Linked DNA regions of Mytilus edulis. The protein of the gene in region 1 binds, or shares a complex with, the protein of each later gene. Links are inferred from orthologs where the notes say so. Each region holds a gene or a part of one and is shown on either strand. Other genes may lie near its edges. The genes, in order: RNA-binding protein spenito-like and N(6)-adenosine-methyltransferase non-catalytic subunit METTL14-like.

Region 1 (10,034 bases):
TACCTGTGCACTTTATTGTGGAACCTCGTGTCATCATGAATGATAAATGTTATTGTCTAATACAATTGTTTCAGGAATAGGACGAGATGTGCAGTTGGCCAATCAGAATAACGTATTATAATGAAACATACATCTAATGTAATTATTGTCTATAAATTTGTTTGCTGGGCATTACCAATTATGGATTCGGTAATTTCCGCTAAAAAACGAAGTTTACTGAATGATCTCATCATACATCAATCTCATCATACATCAAACATCATCATCACCATCACCGATCATCACCATCATGATCAACAAAAAACGTATAATGTTGTGACCACTTCATATAATGTTGTGACCACTGCATATAATGTTTGGACCACTGCGTATAATGTTGTGAGCACTTAATATAATGTTGTGAGCACTGCATATAATGGTGTGAGTACTGCATATAATGTTGTGAGCACTGCATATAATGCCGATCATTAACATAAGGCAGTCATGGCGTTCCATACGTTAATGTTATTACTACCACTGGGTCGATGCCTCTGCTGGTGAACTGTTAGTCCCCGGGGGTATCACCAGCCCAGTAGTCAGTACTTCGGTACTGGCATGAAAATACGGATTGTTTGTGTTATTAAAATTTACTGTTACAAAATGTTAGAAATTATTATAAATTAAGGAATGTATCTCCCTCATGCAAAGCTCTGATTCCTTTCACGGATTTGGCTATACTTTTTGGACCTTTTGGATTATAGCTCTTCATCTTTTATATAAGCTTTGGATTTCAAATATTCTGGCCACGAGCATCACTGAAGAGACATGTATTGTCGAAATGCGCATCTGGTGCAGACAAATTGGTACCGTTAATGTTATTATTGCACCGAGGTTGTGACTGCATGGTTGCTATAAAAAATAACGCATAGCTGAGAGGATGATGATGGAGTAGATTGTTACTCCAAGAAAACATTTTCAATATTTTTTAGAAATGGTGGGTTAGTAAAGGAAGAAAATAAATGGTTTTATGATGATGTACACATAGATATATAGTTAACAAATTTACTTATCTAGCTTTGTTCTTAATTTTAATGGAACATTTTCTGTTGCACAAAAAAAAAGTTGCTGAATACTTCAGGCAGAGAAGCTATGTTTTGTTTATTTAGTAATATTAGACAATATTTATTTACATGTAATGATTTAAAACTAACCAATCTTTTGCTACATTAATTTGCGTATTTCGTCTTCTTTACCCTACAAGAAACTTTCCTAGGAGCCGTGGATTGCGGTATATCGTCCGAATATTTTCAAAACGTTCACGTAAATTGATGGCGTCGTGTGTTAAAACAGTTTTTGGCCAATCATCAAATCGGTAAACATCATTTAATATGCACGGTCGGATGACCCTTTAAACCGAATTCCTACGTCGTCCGGGTTAATAAGGGTCACCGAGCCGCGCAGATTGAAAGATATATACCGACTTGCTTGGTCAATAACTTTAACATAGTCACTAGGAAATTGTGTAAATTTAAATATTGGATTAAGGTATTGAATTACGACAATTGTATATTACTTGGTTGTTACAATTATTTATATGATATCTGTTTGAAGAATCCAAATGACTGATAAGAACTGGGTTTGTAATCTACGAGGAGAATTGTTCCACCTTAGTTTAAAATGATTTGTGGTTTTCGTCAAACTGATTATTCTGTATGCAAACATCATATTATAGTTATAAACAGAGACTGTGTGACATTGTCAAACAAGAGTTTGATGCTACTTTAGATAGTTCATCAAAATGTTTTTTGTATACATGTAGATATATGATATCAAATTTTTCTTTGCACACATATGTATGTAAACCAATACCCAAAATTTACAAAAGTGTATTGCTAAATTTGTTTGTTTGCTTTTTGGCCTTGAATGTTTGTCCCTAATATTTTATTAACTGTGCATTTGCATGCAGATATCGCAGATCAAATATATTAGATTGTCATCATCTAATATAGCTTTTTCAAAAGTGATTTTTTTCAAAGGGTTAGATATTTCGCAGTGGTGTCTTGCCATGGCTTTGTTTGGACTTGTTTGTTTGCTTTTTGGCCTTGAATGTTTGTCCCTAATATTTTATTAACTGTGCATTTGCATGCAGATATCGCAGATCAAAATTATTAGTTCATAGTTTGTTAATTTACGTTTTTTGATTGAGTTAAGCCTGTCAATTGATAATTTATCGTGTGTTTTTCTATGTTGTGATGTTATGCTATTATTTTAGAAAAAGGGAGAAGGTTTGATACCATTAAAACCTTTAATCCCGCTGCAAATGTTTGCAGTCAGGAATCTTATGTACAGTAGTTATCGTTTGTTTATGTAATTTATACGTGTTTCTCGTTTCTCCTTTTTATATAGATTAGACCGTTGGTTTTCCCGATTGAATGGTTTTACACTAGTAATTTTGGGGCCCTTTATAGCTTGTTGTTCGGTGTGAGCCAAGGCTCCGTGTTGAAGGCCGTACATTGACCTATAATGGTTTACTTTTATAAATTGTTATTTGGATGGAGAGTTGTCTCATTGGCACTCACACCACATCTTCTTATATTTATATAGGAAAGGTAAGGTATTCTAATGTAAATATAAACCTTAGAATCTGTACATTGTGTCTAGATGATATAGAGAGGATGAAATGCATTTTATCTAATCATGTCCTTCATATTCAGCATTGCGTGAAAATTTGATAAAACCATATTATTGGCGTTAGCCATCTATTCATAAATCTTTACAAATTGTTATGATATTGTAATTATTATATTTATTTATGTTGGCCTAATTTGTGTTGTGTGGCCTGATAGTTGTTTACAAAAAAGTCTTATAACTGTACAGTTTAGAAATCACTGGAACAATCACAGAATGATTGGAACTTTCCATTTGACTTACATAATGATTCCAGAAGGATCCTAATAAAAGATGCGTAATTTAAACTTCTACATTTTACTAGAAACATCCGTTGTAACTTTCTAGGACGTTCCATTTCTAGAAATTTCCGTGATAACTATACATATTTCTTCTTTCCATCTAGTGTAACATTGTTATTTTTTATAACATTTTACCCTTTGAGTATTAAAATATGAAATGTTCTTATTAGGAAACGGATTAATATAAGCTAAGAGCTTGTTTCTGGATCCTATTAATTATTTCACTTGTATTATTATGTAAATGCCTATGTATGTACCTGAATATAATTAATAAAATATGTTTACACTAACTATACATATACGGACACTAAAGTCTCAGACTTAGACATCGATAGAAATTAGTATTCACAGCATTTTGATTCACACTTTTATTCTACAAACAACCTCAGACTGGATTGTGACCTTAGTAGTGAACGTAATATTCAGATTAGATTCTGAGAAGATTTCCGGATACAGATAAAGAAAAAAGACTGGACTCATATTTTGACAGTTTAAAGTTGACAGTAATATTGGTGTTATACTTCTTGTAAACTTTTGTATAATAAATCTTGTTAAATTTTATAATTGACTGTGTCTTTTGTTGGCCACAATTTAAAGGTGCTTTCTGACTGATTGAAAAGACTTATGCAAGTTAGGAAAATATATATTTAGAGCACTGTTCAAAGCTCTAAAATGACTGTTTTTAAGTTGATATGTAATCAATTGTTACATGTATTTGTTATTTGTTATTATATTTACATTTCTGTCTGTTTTGTCATGATCGTACAATTTTGTAATCTAAATTAAGTATATGTTGAAAAACATTTGGTTAATAAAGAATTGAAAAAATAATGAAATAATAAGTCGTTGTGAGTCGGCGGACACGGATCTGTATTTTAATTAAATAGGATAATCGTACTCCATATGTTTATGATATTCAAGTAACCCGAGTTAACAGTACGTCAGTCGTTGGATTCTGTGCATTTGTGGTGTGGCGTCTACTTAAAGGCAAACTTTACATTTATTTGCATTTTTACTTTTCGTGTGTTTCCTAAATATAGTTTGTTTAGCCACAGCTTTTTTGAACTGGGATCCACTGGCGGATCCAGAAATTTTCATAAGTGGGGCCCAGTGACTGCCTAAGAGGGGGCCCACTCCAGTCACGCTTCAGTGATTCTCTTTATAAGCAACCTTTTTTTCAAAAAAAGGGGGGCGGGCCCCTGCCCCCCCCCCCGGCCCTAAATCCACCTCTGGGATCCGATAAACTCAAACAAAAACAGAAAGCGTTGCTTCTGTTTCACCTAGAACCTTTCCTTCGCATGTCAATGATGTCGGGTATTTACAGACATTAAACAAGAAAAAACACAACCAAACATTTTGGCATTCTACTACAAAAGAAAGTTACAAATGGCAAATTTTAGGCACCATGATTGGTAAATATCAATTTTAGATTGTGCTAGTGCTAAATGCGTGCATGGCGGCTTTGATTCCTTTTTCCGGGTTGCTTTTACTTTTCTTATCACTGTTTTTAAATGATATGAATGGTTTTACACTAGTCATTTTGGGGCCTGTATGGCTTACTGTTCGGTAGTGATCCAAGGCTCCCTTGTGGAAGACCGTACTTTGACCTATAATGGTTTTTCTTTTACGAATTGTGACTTGGATTGAGAGCTGTCTCATTAGCACTCATATCACATCTTATATCTATTTTGTAGTTCTTTTCTTTTTGTTGAAATAAAAAAGAAAGAAGTGAGAATCAGTATTTCCGTGACGTGAACGCTAATTCTTCCCACTTATAAAAACGGTAAGTCCTGATGATTTAAGTCACGCCACCTCATAGCCAATAAAAATGATTTAGATATGTATGCTCGAACTACAAATATACTGAAAGTGTAACAAACATGATTAACACACTTCACTGGCCAACATTACAAGAAAGGAGACTCAAAAGCAGATTAAATATGTTCCATAGAATAACAAACAACAAAATTGTCATACCACATACTGACATATAAATTAAAAGCCAATCAAACACCAGGTCTAGCCACGAACAAACATACCGACAAATTCAATGCAGCAAAGACAGTTACAAATTTTCATTTTTCTGCCAAACTATAAAAGACTGGAACAAATTACCTGAACCAATAGCCTGCAGCATGTTTAATATGTATCTTGTTTTTTTTGTTTTTTTTTTATCTCATACCAGAAGAAGAAGAAGAAGAAGAAGAAGAAGAAGAAGAAGAAGAAGAAGAAGAAGAAGAAGAAGAAGAAGAAGAAGAAGAAGAAGAAGAAGAAGAAGAAGAAGAAGAAGAAGAAGAAGAAGAAGAAGAAGAAGAAGAAGAAGAAGAAGAAGAAGAAGAAGAAGAAGAAGAAGAAGAAGAAGAAGAAGAAGAAGAAGAAGAAGAAGAAGAAGAAGAAGAAGAAGAAGAAGAAGAAGAAGAAGAAATAACGTATTATAACCCTTTTTATAAGTGAGCGATTTTTTTTTAAATGGGGCGAGTTGGTGATTTGTTGTGGGGCGATTTGTCCTGCTTCAAAGCGCAGATATTTTTGTTTATATTTCTATTCTTATCGAAAAATATGGAGGGAAAAAAGAATGTTTAAAAATGAGTGCTAGACGGGTACGAATACGGACAATAATCATGCTTTTCTACAAACCACCATCCACGCCCCCGGAAGTACTAATTACAACCATATTATCACATTTTGAAGCGCAAAATAGATCACAAAATAGATACACACATACTAAAAACATTAATGTTTCAAAAGTGTCAGCGATATAAAATATAAGTATTCGTACCTGTCTCTGGTAAATGCATGAGCAAAACCAATAATATTATGACAGGTTATTATATTTTGACTTACGCGCAGTAATCTGTTGAAAGAAATATGTCTACACGAATCGCGTCCTGAAATAAGATTTTGTCGAAGAAAGCAAATAATACTGCAAAATGAAGCGTTCACCTATGAGAGACCATTCCCCTATAAGTAAAAGGTCCAGGTCATCATATCGCATGTCAGATCATGATATGGGCAGAGGCATGTCACCAGATATGTACGACCGAAGAGACCCTCGCAGAGACATGGTTATGAAAAAATCTTACCGTAACATTGATCATGAAATGGACCGTCCTCGTGCTAAATACAGAGATGACCGAATGGATTATTCCCCACCTTCTAGGCCTGATACTAGACACCAACCAGACTTTAGATCTATTTGTATAAGTAATATCTCTGGGAAAATCCCTGTTCCCGTCTTGAAAGAGACCCTCTATCACGAGTTCAAAAAATTTGGAGAATTCAATGTTAATGTTACATATAGTGGTGATATTAGAGTAGCTTATATAAACTTCAGGTACCCAGAAGATGCACGTGAATCTAAACATTTGAAATCCAAACTTGTTCTCTTTGATCGTCCTGTAAGAATAGAAGCTGTGTATCAAAAGAAACGAAGCCATAGCCCCGGAAACGATAATTTTCATTATGAGCGCCATGACAATTATGGTAGCAGTAATTATAGAGGAAGGGGATCTTTTAGAGGATATCCTAGCAGTAGAAGACCATCTGGTCGTGGATTTTACCAAGGACCTCCTCGCAACATGCCTCCAAGGGAAACCCCAGATTTTAATCAAGGAGACTCATATAATGCTCCTAAACGAAATGACAAATTCCCATATCATCTAGATCATATCCAGCCAGAGGATGACGAAAATGCAACCAGGACATTATTTGTAGGCAATCTTGATTACAATATTTCTGAACAAGAATTAAAAACAGTGTTTGGGAGATATGGAACAATAGAAGATACCGATATAAAAAGACCTCAAAGAGGCACTGGAAATGCTTATGCCTTTATAAAGTTCATAAATTTAGACTGTGCTCACAAAGCCAAAGTGGAACAATCTGGCCAGTATATTGGCAGGTTTCAGTGTAAGATTGGTTATGGTAAAGTGACTGCAACAACTTGCTTATGGGTTGGTGGTCTTGGTTCATGGATTACACATGAAACACTTGAACAAGAATTTGATCGATTTGGGATGATAAATAGAATAGAATGGCCTAGAGGTAAAGACTATGCCTATGTTTTATATGATAATTTAGATGCTGCTCAAGCAGCTTGTCAAGAAATGCGTGGTGCCCCAATGGGAGGAACCGAGAATAAAAAACGTCTTCGGGTTGATTTTGCAGATCCAAATCATATCATGATACCCGAAAATCAAGACAGCACTCATCGTGATGGTAATTCCTTGTATGAAGAATCAAGACGTGAAGGTAAAGAAAGTAGAACAAGGGAAGAATGGCGTGAAAATGATAATAGAAATCCTGACATTGAACTTAAACATAGTGGTAGTTGGGAAGAAGGTAGAAAAAGACCTTTATCTCCAGACGAGTACAGGAGGAGGAAGATATCAACTTCACCTGATCAAAGGTTTAGTAAGGGCCCTGAGTCTAGAGGTAGATCAAGAGAGAAAAAAGCACTTTTTTCACAAGAAAGAGAACTTGGTGAAATTGATCCTCATGACGATTCAAGGAAAGAAAGGAAGAACTCAGTTGACAGTTCAGACATGGGTATTGAAAATGTAACTTCAATACCAGATCTTGCAAAGTGTTTACCTGTTGCATGGAATGGTGCAGTCATTTTGAAAAATAGTGCTTTTCCTGCTAGAATGCATGTTGTAAGTGGAAATGTAACCATTGTTGATACCCTAATGAGAGATCCTAATTCAACAGAAACACCAGTGTTAAAGGTCAAACAGAGATTAAGGCTTGACCAGCCTAAATTAGAAGACGTTGGAAAACGTGTATCCAGTGCTGGAAAATTAGGACATTGTATTTTGCTAGCTATGACAAGCACACTTCAAAACTATGAAGACCCGAGTGTTCAACAAAGACCATTAAAAAATTTAGTTAGTTACTTAAAACAGAAAGAGGCAGCAGGTGTTATCTCCCTTCCTTCATATGAGTCAAAGGACAAAGATGATGTTGGTGTTCTATACGCATTTCCTCCATGTGAATTTGGCTACAAATTTTTGACCAGTAAAGCGACCCATCTTCCAAGTGAATTAGTACCAGATGATTATATGGTCATAGTAGTTGTTACTGGCGCAGGTTAATTTAAATATATTTTTTTACATCATTTCTAAATTAAGAATTTACATTTATAGATGTTTATATAAAAAAGTTAAATGGATCTTAATTCTAATTTTGACATAACTTTTAATCTTCAGTTAATCTGTTTCTTACTTTATAATTTATCAGTATTCTCTTCTGATTGTCGTTATGTCAAATATAGAATATTTGTATGATATTTATTTTTGAAACTTTAGAAAAAATATTGTGAATATTTTAAAAGTGATCAGACTGGGATGAATGACAATTTTACAATTCAGGAAAGTTAAATACATTTTTCAGGTGCGGATCCAGAGGGGGGGTTCTGGGGGTTGGAACCCCCCTTTTTTTTGACCGATCAATGCATTTGAATGGGAGCATATAGCTGGAACCCCCCCTTTACTCTGGGTTGGGAACCCCCCCTTTTTAAAATGGCTGGATCCGCCCCTGATTTTTGTACTACCAGTCATGCCAGTGCTTTTTATTTTTCCTTCATTGTATAATTTGTTATCATTGTTCATTTATAATTGAAATGGAATTAAGTAAGGTCAAATATTCTTTTACATTTGTTTGGTTTTTAAACAACACTTTAAATGATGTTTATTGTAAAGACAAACATTTGTTGATAAATCCACATAATAAACAATGTGTAACTTTTTCAATATCATTGAACAAATGTTGAATAAGTTATAAAAATACAGTTTTCAACAAAAAGCATGATAGACAGTTGTATGTGGTTTAGTTCTTAACATAATGAGTTTCAGCATTTCAAGGCACAGAATATCATGAATCTCGGATTAGAATATTTAAAAAGCTCCATTTGAAATAGTATTTCTTGCAATAAATTTTATACATTTATATGTATTTGTATTTTCAAACATTTTTTTTATTTTTACATGTCTGAATTTGCACAACAGTCTGAAAACATGAAAAAGAAATGATCAAATATGTGTATGTTTTATGTTGCAGTAGCATAGAAACAACAAATTTAGCTTTTTTTTGCATACATTTTAATTTAATAAGCAGGGTTACATTAGGGCTGAAAATTGTGCAAAACATATTTTGTACTTAAAGCTTATAATTAAGGGTTTAAAATGTCAGTGTTCGCCGTTGGCTTTATAAATGCTTATATTTTCCTATTTTTTTGTTATATTATTTTTGTTGAAGAACTTTATTATGTACATTGTATGATTTAAGGCCCCTGTTAAGTAAAAATATGTTGCATACTTTGTCATATCCTGGTATTCAATTATTTTTAGTGATGCATGGTGCAGTTGTTATACATTGTAAATTATTTTGTGCTAACAAAGGTGGTATTCCACTCGTAAGCCATTTGTAAGTTGAGACAATTTATATTTTTAAATAAGTTTTTTACACTTTAAATACAGTTTATCAAATATGCTGCTCATATTGGTAATCCAAACTTATTTAAAGGATGTAGTCAGGTGAAATTTAAAAATAAATCCAGAATTTAGAATTGATACCAAGTCAGAAGAACATTAGTTAAGGAACAAAATAGCTAAATATATCTTTGGTTGTGTTGTTGTCTCTTTGACACATTCCCCATTTCTATTCTCAATTTTATTCAAGACAAAAAGTTTATCAAGATATTTGATTATTCCTTACATTTAGCATTTGCATTTGGGTCTTAAATTGCGAAAAAAGTAATCTAGAATCTGCTTAAATTTTGGTAATGACCTTTTGAGCTATTGAATATAAAAAAGAAGATGCGGTATGATTGCCAATGAGACACCTCTCCACAAGAGACCAAATGACACAGAAATTAACAACTATAGGTCATTGTACAGCCTTCAACTATGAGCAAAGCCCATACTGCATAGTCTGCTATAAAAGGCCCTGAAATGACAATGTAAACAATTCAAACGAGAAAACTTACGTCCTTATTTATGTACAAAAAATGAACTAAAAACAAATGTGTAACACATAATCAAGTGACAACCACTGAATTACAGGCTAGTCTTCTATGAAAAGAAAAGT
Region 2 (10,461 bases), on another chromosome or scaffold:
TTATTGAAATCAAAAAATGTAATTACTCTTTTAGAAATAATAACATAGCAGATGTTCCCAGGGTAAGGACAACTACCCATGGGCTACACTCATTTAGATACGCAAGAGCCAAACTCTGGAACGAACTGCCAAATAAGATGAGGGAAGAAATGCCATTGGGTCAGTTTAAAAGCTTGGTTGGTAATTGGGAGGGCAGTTCGTGTCAGTGTTCCTCCTGCAGATCTCAGTGAGCTGTAGATCAGTTTATTTATTTGTCTTGTATACTCTGGCTTTTAAATTATTAGGCATAATTTTTTATTTGTGTTCTAAATGCTTGAATTACTTTTAGTGCTTTATAATAGCTATTGCATGAATGATAGTTTATCTGCATTTTATGTTTGCTTATATGCTTTAATTGTGCTTATTAATTGCTTTGCTTGATAACATTATTTATTTTGCATGATGTGCTTTATGTTTTATGTGTTTTATGTATTGTGCTCGTCTTATATGTATGTCGGATAAAAGCTCTACAGAGCTTATGTTGTATTGTTATATGTATAACCGACTTTAAATAAATCTTTTATGCTTTATGCTTTATGCTTTATGATTCAAGCGTTATCCATCTCTAGCTAAGGGGTTGAATTGAAAAGTGAATACGGATTGGATGAGGTCGAATTTTTCACTTGCAAGTGAATAATTCATCAATTCATCATGTTTCTTAGCTTATTTTAAAAAAAAAAAGAACAATACTGGCTGCTAAAAGCGAATAAATATTTCACTCTTTCGCTTTCATTAATGATAGAACAAAAAAACTTATATAAATAAATAAGATCAACCCACATAAAGCCACCGGCCCAGATAACACCAGTGGTCGCTTACTGAAAGAAATGCAGACAGAAATTGCACCAATTCGATGCTTAATTTTTAACAAATCTTACAATACTGGTATTACACCTAACGACTGGAAACACGCTAGAGTCGCACGTGCATATAAAAAGGGGGATAACCATAAACCGGTCAAATATAGACCTATCTCATTAACTTGTATATTCTGCAAGTTAAGGGAACACATAGTAACATCACATATTATGAAACATCTCGAATCAAATAACATCTTGTATGACCTCCAACATGGCTTTCGGCACTCTTGATATTGCGAGACATAACTTTTCTCCTTCATCTAAAAACTTCAATCCACAAACAATTCAAATACACAAAGAAACCTTGTAATAATGGACTTTGCGAAGGCCTTTAATAAAGTTCCGCATCGTCACTTAGTTACTTTACAAATTACACTACTAAATATTTTGGCATTAATGGAAACACTTTAAACTGGATCTCTGCATTTCTCTCCGATCGAACCCAAACAGTTGTTCTGGATGGAAGATCATCAAGCACAGTCCCAGTCACCTCTGGGGTTCCACAAGGTACTGTCTTAGGTCCAGTATTATTCTTGGCTTATATTAATGACCTTCCAGACTACCTTACAAACTAAGATTACTTGCTGATGACAGCATCATATATATGCCAGTTAAATCCTAGAGTGACTGTTTAAAACTGCAAGCTGACCTTGATGCAGCTGCAAAATGGGAGGAGGACTGGATGATGGCCTCCCACCAAGACAAGTGTAATGTTCTCTCTGTCACAACTAAACGTCAACCTTTACAACATAATTACACTCTTCACAATCATATTTTAGAATCTGTTACATCTGCTAAGTACTTACATTACAATCAAACCTTAAATAGGACAAACACATAGATGACAATATCTCGAAAGCCATCAAAACACTCTGAACAACACTCAATTCAGTAGCTTCCTGTAAAATGTTTATGATATCAATTGCTTGTTGTTCTACATCAGTTTCCTTTTTGCATTTCAGTCTTCTTCCTCACTTGAATTACCTTTGGTTGGTAATTTTCTATGTTTTTTTCTTCCCATTTCAGAATAGTTTTCTTTTTGCTTGTTGTGCTGATCATCTAAGTTTTCCCCTTAACGATCAGGTTGTGTTTTGCCTTTACTGGTACATGTGCTGAACTGTTAAGTAGATGTTGGTCCATAATCGCTGAATCCAAAAGATTACTGCCTCTGAAGTTGTACTCTATCTGCGAGGTGGAATTTTTATTATGGTGATAAAAAGTAGGTTTGTGAGTATTTTTAACTATGCTTTTAATAGCTGATGTTGACTGCAGAAGTTCTTAAGCAAATTGTCATGGTTATTATTTCTACTTTGCATGAGTGTTCCATTCAAATCCCCCACTATGAAGACATTGTGTGTTTGCTCATATTTATCAATAATTGACGAAATTTTATCCAGTTGTTCTCTGTACTCTTTGTCTGATCCTGTTGCCATTGTTGGCATATATCTATTAATTAGGATTACTTTAACTGGTTCAGACTAAATTTCGATGACTATTCTTCTTTTTCTAGCTTCCTGATCTTATGTGAGATTGTTGGAGGCCATATAGTTATTACTCCCCCATTCCCCCTTCTTCTTTGTAGTTCCAAATCAACTAGATTATCATCAAAGCTTGAGATATGATAGTCGCAGTCTGGCAGAATTTCTTTTAGTGCGACTAATTCATATCCGTGTAACCAATGCAAGCATAGAATTGTGTTTGTTTTTAAAAGTTCTTTCAGATATACATTGCTGCCTTTCATTCTCTCAATGTTCATTGAGACAATGTCTAGCATTGTCTCAGTAGTATTTCGGTCTCCTGTCCAAGTTTTTGGATGTCTGGTGGTTCCTTTGGTTGGTCTATTTTCCCTAAAAATACTGTTTTGGCTTTTCTTCTTCTGTTGAATGTTGAGGAAGGTTCATTGAAGGATGGTCAACATGTTGATTATTAGGAACTGTTATTTCAGTGTCAGGAGTTGCAGTAATTGTTGGTGTTTCTTTTAGGTTTTGTTCTTCATTTAGCAGAGACTCTGGATTTGTAAGTTTATCAAATGCTTGGGTCAGTTTAATTTCTGTTTCGGCATGACTTAGCGGACTTGAGCTACCTTCTGATTTGGACTTTTCTTTTCTTTGCCCATTATCACTGTGTCTTTCTACTGATATTTTGTTATGGTTATAGAGATTACTATTCTGTTGATAAGGTGGTGGTGGCACTCTCGGCAGTCCTTGTCTTAGTAGATCATCGTGATGCACTGAGTTGTAGTGTAATTAATCAATTTGACTGACTTGGTCTTGCCTTGAATAAAACTGGAGTTGACCGTTTAAATAAGATTGACCTTGTCCATTAGTATAGGGATCATTTTGATGTCGACTTTTTCCAGAGTTGTACCCTTTTGTTATCATTTTGCTGATGTTGTTCAGAGTTATACCCTCTTGGATCATTTTGAAGATGTTGATTTTGTCCAGAGTAATACCCTCTTTGGTCTTTTTGTTGTTGCCGATGTGGTCCAGAGTTAAATCTTCTCAGATGATTTTGGTGAATTTGACTTTGCTCTGAGTTATATTGATACCCTCTTGGATCATTTTGTTGATGTTGACCTTGCCAAGAGTTCAAACATCCTGGGTCATTTTGATGTTGTTTTTGATTTTGTCCAGAGTTAAACCCTCTTGGATCAGCTTGATGTTGGCTTTGTTCAGAGTTATACCTTTTTGGATCCATTTGATGTTGATTTTGTCCAGAGTTATACCTTCTTTGGTCATTTTGATGTAGAATTTGTCCAGAGATATACCCTCTTGGATCAGTTTGATGTTGGATTTGTCCAGAGTTATACCCTCTTGGATCCATTTGATGTTGATTTTGTCCAGAGTTATATCTTTATAGCTGCTTTAGCCTCATATCCATCATTTGCCCATGCATTTCTTGTTTTATCTGTTTTTGAAGCTCATCTCTCATTTGATCTATATTGCTTCTATTCAGATTTTCTTGTTCTATATTTGGTTGCCTTTTCATGCTATTGATGTTATCTGCTGGCTGTCCATTACTTTGAATGATCTCCGTGTTTTTCTTTAGTAAATCTATTGTTTTGTCTTGATTCTTAATGCGCTATTCTAATGAGCTTATATAAGCTATCTGTTCTAATTCAAGTTTCCGGTTTTGCTGGTTTTTCTTGTTGCTTCTTTTAACCGTTTGTTTCTGGTTCTGTTTATCTATATTTCTATTGTTTCCATATGCACTTAAAATAGCACCTTCCAATGGCTGAGTTTAAAACTGAGGTTTGCTCCTCCACAGGGTGCAGAGATTGTCTATTCATTGTGTCTGATTCTCCCACAGGATTTAAACATATTGATGGGAGCAGTTTTTACCACAGAACACCACAGAATACCAAAGAAACACCATAGAATACCTCATATTTTCCTGGCATTACAAAAATTCTGAAAAACATGAACCCTCACAAAGCCACCGGTCCAGACAACATTAATGGTTGAGTTCTAAAAGAACTACACAAACAAATAGCACCAATACTGCAGCTCATATTCAAAAAGTCATTTCACGCTAGGCAAACTCCAACATACTGGATGCATGCTAACGTCGCTCCAGCTTTTAAAAAAGGAGATAAACACAAAGCAGTAAACTACCGACCTATTTCATTAACTTGCATCTGTTGCAAGTTAGGAACACATAGTCACAAAACATCTTATGAATCACCTCGAAAATAACAACATCCTCTATGATCTCCAACACGGCTTCCGAAATTCACGCTCATACGAAACTCAACTTCTTTCCTTCATACAAGAATTATCAGAAACAGACAATAAAAATTTCAAACAGATTTAGTTATTATGGATTTTGCTAAGGCATTTGATAAAGTTCATCACCGAAGACTTCTCTGTAAATTACAGTACTACGACATCTCTGGACAAACACTAAACTTGATAAAAGCATTTCTTTCCAACCGTACACAAACTGTTGTCATAGATGGAAAGTCATCCTCCCTGTCACTTCTGGTGTTTCACAAGGTACTGTATTGGGCCCTGTCTTGTTTCTGGTCTACATTAATGACCTGCCAGACTACTTGACCCACAGCATGCTCAGGCTATTCGCAGATGATACCATAATATACAGACCGATCAAATCCCAGAGTGACTGTGATAATCTCCAAGTAGATCTAGATGCGGCAGCTAGTTGGGAGAGGGACTGGCTGATGGCTTCAGTCCATCCAGATAAATGTACTGTGCTATCTGTCACCAAAAAGAAACGACCTATACAGCACAACTACATTGTAAATGGTCATACACTGGAATCAGTCACATCAGCTAAGTACCTTGGTGTCACAATACAGTCAAACCTAAAGTGGGATAAACATATAAATGACATTACATCCAGAGGCAACAAATCACTGGGTTTCCTACATATTCATACATCAAAAGAGTCCTACAGACATTCATACTTTCCATATTCAATATCACAGTGTAACCAGCTCCCTGTGGTACCAGGCACCATCCATTGATAGCTTCAAAGAACAGCTCACTTCAGCTGTTCTCTGTCTATTAATAAAAAGCATCAATTTAAATTGTATATAGTCATGATAGTTTTAATCACAAATTTGACATTTTATTGCACTTTAATTATATTTCGTTTAAATTGGGGTAAAAAATTGGTAAATAGTCCACGTATGCGAACTGTATGTAATCATCGAAGTCGATGGAATATTGTATACCTAAAGAAGAAGAAGATAAGTGGTGTCCTTTTATCGAACGTTGCTACGCACGATTTAAGAAATAAAATATTGGTATTTAGATATAAACGTAAAACGTAAAAACAAATGTCTTTTTATTTTTTCACTACTTTCAATGTCTTTTTTTGTATGGAAAAGTGATATTTTTCACTATCGAATGAACACGTTGACTCCTATGGAATAAGTTTGTTATAAGTAGTTGTCGTAAAAGTTCAATCGACTGGTATATTTAGGTACCAGACAAACCCAGCTAGTACGCGGAAAATATGGGTGATAGATTAAAAGAGCTGCGAGAAAGATCACAGAAAAGAAAACAGCTGCTTGCACAAGCAGTAAATGATTTTTAATCTCAATTTTTAAAATGAAAACTATGAAAGATTCAGTTGTTTACTGTTCATCCTTGTCTTTTGTTGAATGTTCTTAAACTTTCACTTTGATGAAAACAAGGATTTGTATAGCTATAAATCTTACTAAACAAATCCTTGTCATGAATAACTTCGGCTCTGTGAATTTATCATATCAATAATTTGTCTGCCATTACTGGTTTCAACAAAGGTTCCCTTAAAATTGTGACGTCTTTAAACAATAAACCTTATCGTTATTTGTTCGCCATTTAATACTGGACATCACACAGGATCCATTAAAATTTGACGTCATAATACAAAATACCTGTTGCCACCATGGAAAAGAGATTGTTGTATGACGTCAACAGGGCTCACACTACTTCAGAATTATAGGGAGAAGTGACTTCTCTTTTTGAAACTGATAGGGAGAAGTGGTGAGATTTGAAAGAGAAGTGCTCATTTGCATGGTACGCTACAATGTTTGGATTTTACAATAGTATAAAGGGCCATATGTAAATAATGTTCTTTTTATATTGTTCAATTCATACCTGAGTAAAAAAATTACAATTAAAGTAACAATTGAAATTAAAAGTTGTTTAAGTTTTACTAAGTAAGTTCTTGTGGGAAACTATCAACTAATTATCTAGCACTAAAAAAAAAAACAATTTTAAAAATGTAAAGAAATTATGATATATCAATTACAATTTAATTAAAAATTATCTTGTGTATGAAATTCAGTGTTTTTCATAAAAAAATATAAAATTTATTAAGCTGGGCCATAATATATTGATATTAGTATAATAGTCTCAGAGTTAAGCAACTTTAATCAATAGTTTAAAACAATCCATAAAAAATATAGGGAATTATATACACCAATCAATTAGATGTAACAAAAAGTCTCTTAATGCGAGTGGAATGCGTAATTTTTCCCTTTGGGATCAATATTCTTCTGTCAGCTGTTCCATCCGTGCGTCCGTAGTAATTATTGTAAAAGTACGGATTTCGGTCATAGCTTGTCCGGTTCAGATCAGTAGTTTAGAAATCGGTCAATGGCGGACGAATGAAAGAAAATTTACAAAAATAAACGATGTTTGACAAGTTATTTGGAAAGGAACATGACGTTTTTAATGCAATAAATGGATTAAACATTTACCGGAGGCAACCTTTATCACGTTTAAATGAAGTAACAAACTTATTTTGCCGCCGAAATTTAGGTTAATGTACGTTTTTGAGTAACAAGCCCCGGAACTTGCGGAGATGCACGAAGTGATAAAAAGTTGTATTTTTATCAAATAACCTGCTACACACTGCAAAGACAATGCTTCAACCTCTTTTCTAAAGATAATGAATCGTTTATGTCTGAATTTCTTTAATTATCAATAAAAAATTGATGTTTCATCAACTTGGTAAAAATTGAAAATTATGTCCGATGACGAAAGCGACTGAAAGCGAGTATCGTCAAGAACAGGGCGACTTGTTTTCGCTTTTGGGGGTTGGGGAAAACGGAGTGACGGTCGGGAAGGCGACTTCTTCGCCCAAGTCGCCTGGTAGCGTGAGCCCTGGTTGATTTTATACATTTTTTAGCCATCTGTACCTATATACAGGAATAGATATTTTCATGTGCCTTATAAAGATCTTTCTGAGTCTAGATAATCCACTATTTTTTTAACACTTATTACAATGCTACTTTCATTCTCGTCAAGCTGAAAAAAGTGGATGTTCAAAAGTCGGAACAATCATTGTTCATAGTTAAAAAATCCTGTTTAATTCAAATATAAAATTTCAAATTGTGAGTTTAGATTATTGTGATTTTAACCCTGTCACATTATCATGATTATATAAGCTACAGTCTCATTTTAAGATATGAAGAATTCCTTTTAATTGTTTAACAGACACATGAACATATATATATATTGACAGGACTTGACACTACCTAATTGTAGCAGATTTCATCTTCGCGTCATCATTTATAAAGATACAATGTGGAAATGGACATGTGTTAAAAATGTACTTGCTATTATCCTAATAATTTCAGATAATATCAATAAAATGTCATTCAAACTAAGTTTTATAGTAATGTTAGTGCATTGAACTTGTAATCTGTCACTTCATAATTGTTATAAGCACATTCATATCATCACAGAAGGGTACAGAATACAAACCATTCAATCAAAAAATGTTGCTGATGGCATTCCAAAACCATTATATAACATTTCACATCAAATAAACCACACTTATCTTGGTAAATTTACATGACAAAATATATCTACTTTATGATAAGACTTATATTTATATATGAATTATGTGTTTAACTCATACATGTGAACCTCCCGACCGGAGTACAATAATCCCGTTTTCAGGGGTTTCCTCCCGTCCTCCAGTTTAGGAGAAAAAAATCCTGTGTATGAAATATTTTATGAATGGAAATTTTTAGCCGCCTTTTTTTGGGATACGATTGCTTTTAAGCAATCTGTAGACGTATACCGTTGGCTCAGGGCCATGCCCTCACGTCAACCGTTTTATTCTAAACATTAAGGAACATCTCAGATTCTTATGATTGTCTTGCTTTAAATGGTAAAAACAAACAAAGGGATTGAACTTTAACTTTCCTTCAATGTTCTTTTCATAATCTTCATGTTTGATATTTCCCTTGACTTATATGCATGTTTTTAACAACACAGAAAATCAGAATTAAGCAGTATTTATATTTAGTGTTTTTATAAATTTAGAAACATGTCAGAGGGAATTCCCCAGTTTTGATAAAAATGCGAGAGTTCTCTGAATTCCGATAAATCTATTTATAGATCATATACATGTAAGAACTGAAGTGGAGATTTTCTTATGCATGTTTTATGTCACCGTTATGAAACTGATATTTGATATTGTACTGCCATAAAGAAATAGAGAACCATCTAGGTCGTTTAATTAACATTTAAAATACGTTCTTGCTCCAGGGTTTGTTTAGGTAATTATGTGCATGCGTATAGTTTTCTTGACTTCAAGGGGTATTAGATTGAATGGTTGCTCTGGATTCCCTACTCAATTGATTGATTTAAAACTCATGGGATCCTTTCTATGTATGTCTGCTATTTAGGGTTATTGTTGTTGCATAATTTTAAATCATATGCATATTTTAAATTTTTTTAAAATGTAGTCCACATCGTCAAGGTGTATCTACAACACCCCTTTAGGCGAAATAGAGTCTTCCATATTATATTTTCGAGTTGTCTCCCTTCCGGAAGTAACTTCCGTCAATTCTGATACGATACAACACGTCGAGAAAAATTAACTTGTTCTGTCGATAAACATCGTATTATATTAAATTATTATTATAACTTGTACACAACACATATAAGACACACGAAGCAAATTCCTGAAGTGAAATTAAATTGTACTTTTATTCAATTCAATTCAATACTTTATTGGAAAGATCACAATATGATCCAAATTCAGATAATAATATATTCAACAATTACATCTACTTAAAATGAAATAAAAATTAATTACAATGTACCAACAAGTCATATTTAGTCAATTATACTCATTAAATTATAGATATGGTCTATGGATACCATAACATTCAGAATTCTTAATGATACTTTACACATATAGTATGATTATTCTAAGTTTTCATTCGTCCTGAACATGCATGAAATATTTGCCACTGGACATTAAGCAACCAACAATCAATCAATCTAAGTTTTCATAATTTTACTTTAAAAACACTATCGCCTTTATGAAATATATCTGTAAATGCACAAGAAGCTAAAAAAAATATTTTTCGAAGAAACAATATGGTGGTTTATCAAATAAAATGCTTCTTCAATATATATTTATTGACTGAAAATGAATTACATCTCAAAATTATATACATGTTCATCAATATCTGTAAAAGCAGTATAACACGTGGTCATTAAAAATAAAGTGTTCAGGTAACAGATTTGTTCATGAACCAATATACAGATCTTGGGAGATCTTGAGAAATCGTGGCACCAATGATATCCTGTATATGGCCATAGTTTTTTCCCCCATTGTTGATTTATTAACAACTAGTCTAATTTATGCACCTGACTAAGAAAAACATGTTAAATGTATAATAACAAAATTTGATTCAACCAGTAAAAATGGTATCTCAATTTATATTTTGACTGAGCTGTTATTCTATATTAAAAGTTGTCATCCTTTTTTTCCAGTTTGGTGTTGATAGTCCTGATGGATTGAAGAAAGTTCTGAAGAGTAAAGATGAAATACTTAATGAAGAGAAACCTAGCAAAACTGGGTATGCATAACACATATTGCTTAAAATACATGTAGAGAAATAATGTTTGAGTGGCAGTTATAACTTTGTTTCAGACTTATATGAAGTAGATGGCAGAAGGGTCATTGCCAAAATCCTTGGACTAATTTGTGCAAAATGTACAAAGTATTTCTTTTTTCTCACCTATTCAGATATACTTACCCCTTCTATTATATAAGATTAAGAGTGTTTAGTTTTCACAGTAAA

What was found.
Region 2: RNA-binding protein spenito-like (region 1) and N(6)-adenosine-methyltransferase non-catalytic subunit METTL14-like share a complex: the UniProt entries of both Drosophila melanogaster proteins name them as parts of the WMM complex. The link is inferred for Mytilus edulis from reciprocal best matches to the Drosophila melanogaster genes nito and Mettl14.

The regions. Positions count from the first base shown.
Region 1 is NC_092344.1:101,820,775-101,830,808, reverse strand, and holds the start of RNA-binding protein spenito-like, read left to right. Parts: upstream 1-5,603; 5' UTR 5,604-5,878; coding exon 5,879-8,036; intron 8,037-10,034. UniProt on the Drosophila melanogaster protein: RNA-binding protein that acts as an associated component of the WMM complex, a complex that mediates N6-methyladenosine (m6A) methylation of mRNAs. M6a modification plays a role in the efficiency of mRNA splicing and is required for sex determination.
Region 2 is NC_092352.1:28,717,294-28,727,754, reverse strand, and holds the start of N(6)-adenosine-methyltransferase non-catalytic subunit METTL14-like, read left to right. Parts: upstream 1-5,805; 5' UTR 5,806-5,879; coding exon 5,880-5,945; intron 5,946-10,150; coding exon 10,151-10,236; intron 10,237-10,461. Other genes in the region: putative uncharacterized protein DDB_G0279653, read right to left, coding at 2,747-3,107, 3,307-3,722. UniProt on the Drosophila melanogaster protein: Non-catalytic component of the WMM complex, a complex that mediates N6-methyladenosine (m6A) methylation of mRNAs, a modification that plays a role in the efficiency of mRNA splicing and is required for sex determination.